Lytechinus pictus: one gene and its partners. The protein of the gene in region 2 purifies or fractionates together with the protein of the main gene of each other region. This does not show direct contact. Links are inferred from orthologs where the notes say so. Each region holds a gene or a part of one and is shown on either strand. Other genes may lie near its edges.

Evidence for each region.
Region 1: the proteins of NADH dehydrogenase [ubiquinone] 1 alpha subcomplex subunit 13-like (region 2) and complex I intermediate-associated protein 30, mitochondrial-like purify together in Homo sapiens (co-immunoprecipitation; 3 studies listed by BioGRID and IntAct, counting the BioPlex papers as one, with this or other methods). This does not show direct contact. The link is inferred for Lytechinus pictus from reciprocal best matches to the Homo sapiens genes NDUFA13 and NDUFAF1.
Region 3: the proteins of NADH dehydrogenase [ubiquinone] 1 alpha subcomplex subunit 13-like (region 2) and NADH dehydrogenase [ubiquinone] 1 alpha subcomplex assembly factor 4-like purify together in Homo sapiens (co-immunoprecipitation; 4 studies listed by BioGRID and IntAct, counting the BioPlex papers as one, with this or other methods). This does not show direct contact. The link is inferred for Lytechinus pictus from reciprocal best matches to the Homo sapiens genes NDUFA13 and NDUFAF4.

What each region holds. Positions count from the first base shown.
Region 1 is NC_087251.1:31,763,011-31,766,764, reverse strand, and holds the start of complex I intermediate-associated protein 30, mitochondrial-like, read left to right. Parts: upstream 1-1,376; 5' UTR 1,377-1,698; intron 1,699-3,754. UniProt on the Homo sapiens protein: As part of the MCIA complex, involved in the assembly of the mitochondrial complex I.
Region 2 is NC_087249.1:30,218,590-30,222,343, forward strand, and holds the start of NADH dehydrogenase [ubiquinone] 1 alpha subcomplex subunit 13-like, read right to left. Parts: upstream 2,827-3,754; 5' UTR 2,787-2,826; coding exon 2,716-2,786; intron 1,375-2,715; coding exon 1,303-1,374; intron 691-1,302; coding exon 495-690; 3' UTR 1-494. UniProt on the Homo sapiens protein: Accessory subunit of the mitochondrial membrane respiratory chain NADH dehydrogenase (Complex I), that is believed not to be involved in catalysis. Complex I functions in the transfer of electrons from NADH to the respiratory chain.
Region 3 is NC_087248.1:7,420,607-7,424,360, reverse strand, and holds the start of NADH dehydrogenase [ubiquinone] 1 alpha subcomplex assembly factor 4-like, read right to left. Parts: upstream 2,453-3,754; coding exon 2,317-2,452; exon of another isoform or gene 2,222-2,316; intron 1-2,221. Other genes in the region: uncharacterized protein LOC129258495, read left to right, coding at 2,885-2,986. UniProt on the Homo sapiens protein: Involved in the assembly of mitochondrial NADH:ubiquinone oxidoreductase complex (complex I). May be involved in cell proliferation and survival of hormone-dependent tumor cells. May be a regulator of breast tumor cell invasion.

The DNA of each region.
Region 1 (3,754 bases), on a different chromosome or scaffold from region 2:
AAAATTTAGCTTGTGCTTCGAGCTTGATTTTGCGATTTTTTTACTTATTTTATCTTTTTACTCATAACGCTACTCTCACATAGAGCCTCGCACCATAGTGCTCGCGTGTAATCATGAAAAATCCTGTTCACATCATGATATGACCGGGAGGAAATTTTTGGCTCTCCCCCCCCCCCCCCGCGCCGGCCGGCCCGCGGCCCGGCCGGCCGCCGATCGACCCTTAGCTGTTTCACCCATGCATGCTGCTTACGATAGACTATTTTCCATGTACTGAAATGAACAACGTCAAAAATTCTCAAGCTCCCTGCAGAAGTCTCATAGGCATGCACAGTTAAGCTCGGGGCGTAACAGGGGTCGGTTGCCGGGGAGGGGCAAGAGCCAAAAATATCCCGGTCATAATGTGAACAGGATTTTTCAGGACGTGCATATTATTATAACTGTTTTGTGAAATTAAGCAAAATTTTTAAAAGTCATAACTTTCTTATTTTATATCCGATTTTGATGAAATTTTCGGTGTTATGCTTGTTGGATTTTTCTCTTTTTATTCAAACAAATTTTTTGTGGGGTGGACTTGTCCTTTAAGTGCTTTTCTTTCTTTTCTCCTTTTCTTTTTTTGCTTGTTTGTTCTTGGTCGTAGAAATTTTTGGGACTCCCTTCCTCTCCATATAGATTCAGTCATTTACCTTGATGGCCGCTATTTTCAATCAAATCACGCGGGTATACAGGTTTTACGGAGGTTTTACGAAACAAATTTTCTATAACATCAAGAGCGAGTTTTTGCCCTATGAAAATGAAATTATGTAGGCCTCATTAAATTGACATAATTTATAAGGCAATGCTTGGACGGTACCTCTGCATGGAACCTCTCTAATAATCTTCTGTAATATTGTCCTGATTGCGATCGTTATTGCCATTTAGCAAGTTATCATACATTAATAAGCCATCTCATGCTTTAATTTATTATTAATCTTTGGTAGCCCAGACTGTGTCTTCATTTTTTTCTTCATTTTTAAAAATTCAGCTTGAGCATATTAAGACCTATACCACGTACCGGGGTCTATACTTACCTCATTGTTCTATTTCATTTTCCGTCACTTTTCTCACTCCTCAGTTTTCCCGCCATAAATTCCCGTTCCACGTGGCCATCTCTTGGTTCTCCTTTCTCTCCTATTTATTAGTATTTCGGGATTATTTTTTCTTATACCTAGATCTATACGCGTAGGCCCCCTATTCGTGTTTTTTTCCTTTTCCTTCCGTTTTACCTTTCTTCTCTTAATTTATCGGCTTTCTTTTTCCCCTCAATTCTTTCCCCTTTCTCCCCCCCCCCCCCCTCTTTCCTCTTTTTCTTCCTTTTCATTTTCTTTAATTCTGTCTTAGCTTTCCCCGGTTTTTTTTCCTGGTGAGCTCCGCCAGGGTGGGCAGACTGCCACTCCTGCCCCAACCCCGGCTGTTGCACCGCTAAGCTCCCCTAAAACTTTTGGTCTCGAACCTTGCCTGTGGCCGTACTCAGCTTGGCCGAAATGTCGCGGTGCATGCATATACCATAGAGATGTATTCTATGGCATATACTCACATACTAATATAATGGGTTCCCATATATATAATGCACGTGATGTACGTACGTGATGTATACCGGTACGTGTACCAAAGGCAAAGATGCTCTCCGAGCGGCCGGCCGACGTCCGACCTGGGTAAGTGGTAAGTTCAGAAACACTCTATGAGAAAGTCTGTAAAACCAAGGTTAATTGTTACTTTATAATCGTAGGTGGATCTAGATCTGGTACAGGTACATTAACTGAACTTTGTTAATACATGAAAGGCTGAAATCTAAGGAAGACTAGCTGAAAAGATCACGCTGCTCTGCACTGATGACTGATCACCAACACAGATAAGCACATGTGGGACAATGTACTATTGTTATTGCTCGGAAAGGGGGGGGGGGGGGGGGTCGGAATATTTCCCCTCAGACTCGAAGGGGTCCGGCGGAGGGATCATTTGGCATTTTCTTGATTTAATTCACTGCCGTTCATTTCAGGGTGACCAGAAAATGAAATATGGGACAAAAAGCACGATGCACGATCGGAGCAACTGATAAAAAAAAATCAACAAACACAATGTTTGATAAGAAAAGGAAAGGGAGGGTGAACGAAAGAATGAAGGAGAGAAAGAAAATAGGAAAGAAAAGAGATGGAATAGAGGAAAGAAATACAAAATGAAGGGGGAAATGAAAATGAAGGAAATTTTTTTTTTAAAATTAGAATGAAAGGTCGGATGAATAAAAGAAAAAAAGGTTTACTTTCTGCCATTCTTTGAAATGAATAAAGAAAGGAAGGGAAGATGAATGAATGCATGTGTGATATAATAAATAAATGAGAGAAAGGAAAAAAAAAGAAAGTAAGAAAAAAAAAGAAGAAAGAAAAAGGTTTCCTTCATTCTTTGAAAGAAAGAAAGATGGAAAAAACAGGAAAGGAAAGAATGAATAAGGGGAAAAGAGAAAATAAAGAATGAAAGAAAGCCGATGAAAGGGAGAGAGGAGAGTATGAAAAAAAAGAAAACTAATGGAAGGAGAGAAAGAACGAAAATGAAAAGGAGAGGAAGGGAGAAGGAAGCAAAGAAAAGTTCAAGGAAAGAATTAAAGAATGAAGGAAATAAAAAAAGGTATTTAAAAGAAGGAAAGTAAGAGAAAGAAAGAAAAATGAACAGAGAGAGAGAGAAAGGATCAGAAAAGAAAGCGAGGAAAGATTGGAAATAAAGATAGATGGAACAAAAAAAGGCAAGCAGGAAGGATAGAAGGATGAAGAAAGAAGGATAAAAAATAAAAATGAAACAAAGGAAAAAAGTTCAAACTTCAAGCAAGCAAAAATATCCAATCATCTTCATGATATTTGGGTTTTTAAAAATCTATTTTAAAAATTGTTAGAACACTAAAATGTTTTAGAAATGAATAAAATTTCAAAGTGAAACATTGTCAAACTTAAAAATTAGATGAAACATCGCAGCATCACACATCTCTCATCCCATGACAAGTTAGCACTGATCACAACAAGACTTAAAACGAAACCTGAAACAACTAGATCTAGTTATGAAAACTCAATATCTTGCTCCACCGATTACATCACCAAATCAGTAATCTGAGAATCCATAATATAAAAATTAAAATTGCCCGCCCATTTTGTGATTATTTTGGTGGAAAAACTGTTGATCATGTGAGATTGTTTGCACCATTGAGAATCTGCTCCGATCCTAGTAGCCTGCCACACACACAGACAGGAAGCCATTGCAAGCCGCAGAACTTGCAAAAGTTTACAGTAATTTTATTGTTGTCTCTCCTTTGTCATCTGTTGGTTATTTTCCCAGGTTATTTTTATGAAAATTCTTCACTTTTCTATGTATTAATTACATTTTGTTCAATATTCTGACATACGGGACAAATAGGCGTCCCGGGAAGGGTTTGTCGGGACGCCGGGACAAAGAAGCAAAATACGGTATGTCTGGTCACCCTGGTTCATTTCGTCAGTGGAGGTGACTTCTTTCCTCTCCCATTGACTTTGTACACAACCATGACAACAAGCGCACACAGGAGAAGAGAGGTGACTTATTTCAGGATAAGGCCGATCATTTTTATTTTGTGAGTGATTGTGTTTGTGAGCGATCATGTATGTATTTATAAATTATAGTATCTATAGCCTTTATAGGGAACTTTTTTGTTTTAATACTGTGCCTGTGCCCGGTGCCGGTGGCCAGGCAATTTTAA
Region 2 (3,754 bases):
TCATTTAAATTTGGGTGAAATTTGTTGGATGCTCAATAGCCATATCAATCAAGCCTACATCTGCATCCCAGAACAAAATTAGTTTCGTAGATCCCGAATGCAGTATAACTCTAAAATCTAATTAACTATTTTCTCAAGGGGGACCAACCACTCACGGCTATTTTGCTTTGTTCCCCCGTTTGATTTGTCTACAAAAGCAGAAACTGAGACAAAACAATTCTTGTAACTCCGAAACAGAAAGATAAATTCTGTCCAAAGATAAACAATAAACAATGTAAGAACACTGCAGTAATTAGTTTGCTTATCTTGGGTTGTATCAAGATACAAAATCAGTTGTTAAAATCTTGCTTCTAATATATTAACATCAGAAATATACCATTTGGGGTATTGACAAATTTGAAGGGGTACAAGTTTTGGTGATCTACATCAAGCCACCACAGGATAACAAAATAATATTCAGTGATTGGTCCCCTTTAGAGCACACAACTATTCATTTATGTTCCTGTGAAAGTGTTGAAGCCAAAGACTTTCTTGTTCCTTTCCTTGGAGGGTTCTAGGTAGTAGAGGTCTAGAAGACCTGGTTCGTACCATCTCTTGGAGTTGAAGACACCTTCACCGATGGTCCAGCCTGGGACATCCTTCATGATCTCAGCCTCCTGTTCCCTGTTGTATTGTAGCCTCAGAAGCATCCTGGAAGATAGGAAACACATAGAGATGAGCCTCTCAATCAACACGTATTATCTGTGTAAGAAATCTGTATGAGTCCCCCCTCCTTTTGCTCCAAAAATATATGATCATTGTTTTTCCTTTCAACCTAAGTCTAGTTATTATTCCTCTGAATAAGCAATACTGATATCCCAGATATATTTTCTTGAGTAAATTTTAGACAATATGAAAATCACGTGCAAGATCAGTGTGTTTAAAGAAATCGCAACTTTGGAAAATACGAGCATTTTAAAAATTCCACAAGATGATGGAAACATACAATATTTCAAGCATAAAATCATTTGAAATGTGTATGACAGCTTGAGAACCATGTTTTTGATTCCTTGGAGTTGTACTTCAAACCCTGGGATATGTCAATGTGTAGATTTTCTTGTTTAGGTATTCTCAAGATTATAGCAAACAAATGATGAGATTTCATAATCACCTTTGTTTAGTAAACTTTTAGAGTTTGTAATATGAATGTGAAGCAAAATACAATGTAGTTCCAAAAAAGATAAAAATTTTGTTTCATTATACACTACTGTTCCCCAATTTAAATATTAGCATTAAGAGTAATCACTAAACATGGAAACATACTCTCTGTCCTTTTCTGCCCAAATAAGAGGCATTATTGCTATCTTGGATTCACGATCCTCTTGGATCCATTTCCTGTAAAGAAAAAAAAAATTGATGACAATGTGTACAAATTAATAGGCGAAATGGAATTGAGATTCACCAGCTTTCACAGAATAGGTGACTCTTAAACAATAAGCCAGTTCACGGTTAGCTCATGATCAAATTTTCTCAAATGACCTTTGTGATTTTTCATTAGGATAAGCACTATCATTTTCAAATGTAGATGTTGCGTAAGCTTTACCAGTAGAGTATTCAAATTCTACGAACAAAAGGCATTGTATAGACCAGGTGACTAGAATAGTACATCAGGGATAAAGTTTGGAAATCTTTTTTATTGTCTGCCTTTGGCACATTTGACTATTGTTTAGGCTACTGTCAAATACCAGTGATTATGAAGGCTCTATTTATTACTCTTCAGCTTGGATGTGATAAATATTTTGAAAGGAATACATGAATAATCATCAAATCACAAATGCCTATGTCAGTGAATTTGAAAGCCACCTTCATGGTTGTCTCCAATGACCTTTTTCTGCTCGTGCGCAGTTTACAACCGTCAAAAGGCTTATAGACATGCATCCTGTTATAGCTCTCATCACTCTACCCCATTCATGTTTTGAATGGACATAGCTTTAAAGGCCACCGCACACATTACGACTGTTCGCGATCCGATTTTGGAACAAATTGCACTTTGCTCATTTTCTGAAAATGTGAATGGAACATATCATTTTATTTGAGGTTAAAATTAAATGAAAGAATACTAATATAACCATTTTGACAGATTGCAAACCTTTATTTTGGAGTAAAGACCAAATTAGTTTCAAATCGTAGCCAATCGTACGACTGCTATGACGTCATTACGACTAGATATTAAATTCGCTTTTATTCTAAGAAGGATGATAGCATAGTCACAGATTTGAACATAGGTATTCCTACGATGATTTCGAACATTACACAGTAAGATATTCCAATATTAGCATCAAATTCTAGAACATTTTATTCTGAGATCGGGTCGCATACCAATCGTAAGGTGTGCGGTCGCCTTAATAAATGCCATGATTAAATATCTTATGGTACATTTTACCAAAAACATCTTTTAATATCAAAACTGATTTCCATTTCAATACCATTACATTACCAAACTTCACACATACTTCATACTGTTTTAGAAAAATATTCAGAAGCATGTTTTTATTTCTCAACTGATAAATTAAGTAACAATACAAAATGATAATTAGAAAACAATAAAAAAAACAGTAAATAAATAAACAAAACTAGTCAAATGATACTGGGCATTTAGGTGTATATTTGAAATGTAAGAGTTGATACAGTGCAGTTTACTATCCTAGATTTCTGCCCTGAAGCCTACAAACTCACCTCCTTTGTTTATTGCTCATTGCCAAGGTAACAAAGCCAAAGGTCATAATTCCAGCCATACCAGCAAACATTGTGTATCCTACAAAGACAAAATGTGGATTTCTAAAGCCATTTGTAATATAAACAAGGCAAAAGCGATTTTGTGTCTCGCCCACTTATGAAAATAAGCAGAAATATCGTGATTTGCGAGGGCACGCAACAGAATTGTATCGAAACTTCATTGTGAAATGACTGGGTTGGAATAACACTTGTCATAAGAGCCTTGCACGTAAACTTTAATGTTGACCTGAAAATGACCTTTGACCTTACCATGTGACCTCCAACTGCAGCATAACATGCAGGTCCCCCAAGTCCATCTACCATCCAAGTTTGGTTGAAAAGCGACTTACGGTTGCGGAGTTAGGTGTCATAAGAGAGTCTTGCATGTAAACTTTAACGTTGACCTGAAAATGACCTTTGACCTTACCATGTGACCTCCAACTATTAACATGCAGGTCCCCCAAGTCCATCTACCATCCAAGTTTGGTTGAAAAGCGACTTACGGTTGTGGAGTTATGTGTCATTAGGTTTGTGACGGACGGACGACGGACGGACGACATTTGGATCCCTAAGTCTCGTCTTCACCTCCGGTGGGCGAGACAAAAATGATGATGCTGTAGCTTGTATTTCTACTAATATGATAATCGAATTGGCATTTCAAAAAGAAGACAAATAAAGTGGAACATTTAACATAGGATAGGTCTAGATTCTATCGTTATTCATTTATTATTTATTTCTTCATGTTATAAATTCACCGCCAATTCAAAAGCAATGCATTCGCAAGTTTTTGTGGCTGGCAGCCATGGCAACACTTGCAATGTTAAAGCGACCTTTCATTGACAAATCATGGGGAAATCAAGGCTAATCTCAGACCAGAGAAGGGATTCAAGTCTTTCACTCGGCTGCGTGCCTGGGGGTGTTATGTAATGGACGCAGGCATGTCTGGGATGTCTATAGGACAGCAATAGTTAGTAAACTAACCAACCAGAAGTAAACTGTG
Region 3 (3,754 bases), on a different chromosome or scaffold from region 2:
ATTGTATTTTATAAAGAGGACTTTTGGTTGAAATTTACTCCTCAATATACGAAAAAACATCGAGTATATAGGGGTGTGGGCTACTAAAACTAAAGCACTAGCCCGTTGTTTTTCTTTACAAATTGAAAGAAGGGAAACCCCCCTACACACACCCAAAATATATTTCAGGAGCAATCTTCCAATTGTATTTTATAAAGAGGACTTTTGGTTGAAATTTACTCCTCAATATACGAAAAAACATCGAGTATATAGGGGTGTGGGCTACTAAAACTAAAGCACTAGCCCGTTGTTTTTCTTTACAAATTGAAAGAAGGAAAACCCCCTACACACACCCAAAATATATTTCAGGAGCAATCTTCCAATTGTATTTTATAAAGAGGACTTTTGGTTGAAATTTACTCCTCAATATACGAAAAAACATCGAGTATATAGGGGTGTGGGCTACTAAAACTAAAGCACTAGCCCGTTGTTTTTCTTTACAAATTGAAAGAAGGGAAACCCCCCTACACACACCCAAAATATATTTCAGGAGCAATCTTCCAATTGTATTTTATAAAGAGGACTTTTGGTTGAAATTTACTCCTCAATATACGAAAAAACATCGAGTATATAGGGGTGTGGGCTACTAAAACTAAAGCACTAGCCCGTTGTTTTTCTTTACAAATTGAAAGAAGGGAAACCCCCCTACACACACCCAAAATATATTTCAGGAGCAATCTTCCAATTGTATTTTATAAAGAGGACTTTTGGTTGAAATTTACTCCTCAATATACGAAAAAACATCGAGTATATAGGGGTGTGGGCTACTAAAACTAAAGCACTAGCCCGTTGTTTTTCTTTACAAATTGAAAGAAGGGAAACCCCCCTACACACACCCAAAATATATTTCAGGAGCAATCTTCCAATTGTATTTTATAAAGAGGACTTTTGGTTGAAATTTACTCCTCAATATACGAAAAAACATCGAGTATATAGGGGTGTGGGCTACTAAAACTAAAGCACTAGCCCGTTGTTTTTCTTTACAAATTGAAAGAAGGAAAACCCCCTACACACACCCAAAATATATTTCAGGAGCAATCTTCCAATTGTATTTTATAAAGAGGACTTTTGGTTGAAATTTACTCCTCAATATACGAAAAAACATCGAGTATATAGGGGTGTGGGCTACTAAAACTAAAGCACTAGCCCGTTGTTTTTCTTTACAAATTGAAAGAAGGGAAACCCCCCTACACACACCCAAAATATATTTCAGGAGCAATCTTCCAATTGTATTTTATAAAGAGGACTTTTGGTTGAAATTTACTCCTCAATATACGAAAAAACATCGAGTATATAGGGGTGTGGGCTACTAAAACTAAAGCACTAGCCCGTTGTTTTTCTTTACAAATTGAAAGAAGGGAAACCCCCCTACACACACCCAAAATATATTTCAGGAGCAATCTTCCAATTGTATTTTATAAAGAGGACTTTTGGTTGAAATTTACTCCTCAATATACGAAAAAACATCGAGTATATAGGGGTGTGGGCTACTAAAACTAAAGCACTAGCCCGTTGTTTTTCTTTACAAATTGAAAGAAGGAAAACCCCACCTGAGGTCTCACAGGCCTAATTCATTCCCCATAGACTCGTGTGTTAAATTGGCACTTTACAAAATTCATAAAAAATAAGGATGAAATTCGGGGGTCGAATGTTTACTACCAGTGGATAGGATATATATCTGGCAATCCATATCTGACCAGAAAAGGGTCCTTCGACTGGCTCATTTTAAAAATAAATTGGCGTGTTTGAAGACAGCGTCGGGGGGAGCAGATTCATCACCTCAAACAGCAAAATAGCCCTAATCCTTCCGCCAGTCAAAATACAGTCCAAAATTGGTGATATTTCTTCCCAATTTGGGAAAAGGAAGTTCAGTAATTACCAAAAATAGAATCAGTGTTAGATGGAAAATCATATGCATACACTTTGTCAATCAGCCATATCAAAATTAAAAAAAATGGCAATGGGTTGGCTCGAATGAATATCTATGGCCTGCCACTAGTGATTAGGCCCGTGTAGCCCTGACCCCGTTTGTTTGATTTCTACAAGAATGCACGCTTAATTCTCTTCTTGCGCATAATCCTGTATCTGATCTATCTTATATCGCGATATTGTTGGCTGGAACTGTTGGCTGGCTTGCTGTTGGCTGGCTTATTGTTGGCTCACTTGACATAGGCCGGCCTCGCGGCGGGAGAGTTCTCCGGAACTACCGGTACTCAACTAGCGCTCGGACTCGGACAGAGTGAAGCTTAGCCTTAGCTTCGCAAGGTCAAGATTTACCTCTCTGATACTGGGCTATTTTATCAGCTGTCTTGGGATGTTTCGGGGCAGGTCTTGGCTTCTGCTGGTCCAGTAAACGATGTGCCCTGCTCTCCACATTAAAGTTTGTAGCAATTCTCCTCAGAGCGCCTCCCATTTTGCACAGATTTTAGTCTTCTTTGGCGTCAGGTACCGACACTGCAGCAGCATGACCGAAAATTATTACCCAATACATGTACAAAATAAGACTGAAGATGGCGCTATACCACTTCAATCTTGCTCGAATTTCAAGTGTTTGACAGGTGTTTGAGCGTCCCCAAGCTATTTAATTGAGTAAGGGCAGCTAACCGTAGCTTGTCAAATATGAATCATATTTTTTTGAAATATCACTTGGTACCACGGAGCAGGTCATATTGATCTATTGTAAACATTGCATCAGTCGCAAGGGTCATTTCATCGGCTTTCATTCTCTGTCTACGTGACTACAGACCTTTAAAAGATAACTGTCTTTCGGTGACCATCATTTTTCTTGGCTTCAAGCTGGATAGAACATTAGTTGATCTATATAGGGAGAAAAAAATTGCCAAACATGGCCAATGGAATGTACTATCTCACATTCGTGATTGCAATTTTAGTGGTGACCGTTGGAATTCTCAAAGTAGCTCCTATCGAACCTGGACATGGTTTTATGGTAAGCATGATTATTATAGACCGACTCATATTCTCACAAAGTCACATTTAGGCATATCATACGCAGTGTCGTCTGCTAATACGCCTATACAATTAATAAGGAGCAAAACACTCAACCGTTATGTCAGTAATTATGAACGAAAATCATTATATGGTTTGTAGTAAGATAACCTGCTAAACAATGATCATGAACTACCGACGTGAACTTGTTTACATTATAGTCTCAGAATTAGACTTTGGAATCGCGCGACCGGGGAAAAAATAAAAGGGTTGAAAGCAGGCATATAATACGGGGGCCGCGGAACGGTTTTCAAAGTGGGGGGGGGGGCTGAGCCAAATGTGGGGGGGCTGACCATGCAAAAAATCACAATCATATGGTCATTTTTGCGTTTATGTACACGGTTTGGAATAAAGTGGGGGGGGGGGGTGAAGCCCCAGCCTCCCGCTTCCGCGGCCCCTGTAATATAATACGTTCACAAAATTTGCCAATGAAGAACATTATTGTACATGACTTGTTATACCTGCATAATTCCATTGTACAAGTATTATGCACATTCTCAGATTGCAATAAAATGTAATTAGTGGAAGCTTCGAAATTTTCGACATAAAATTGTCATTGGCAATTTAAAGGCCGTATGTGAATCAGTGAATTGTGAGCCTATTATGCTATAATAAGACTTTGAGATTTTACAGATATAAAGTTACCGGGGAGGGGGGGTTAAGATGGAATTCATTAATTAATTACTGAGCACGGAAAGTACGTTTCGTT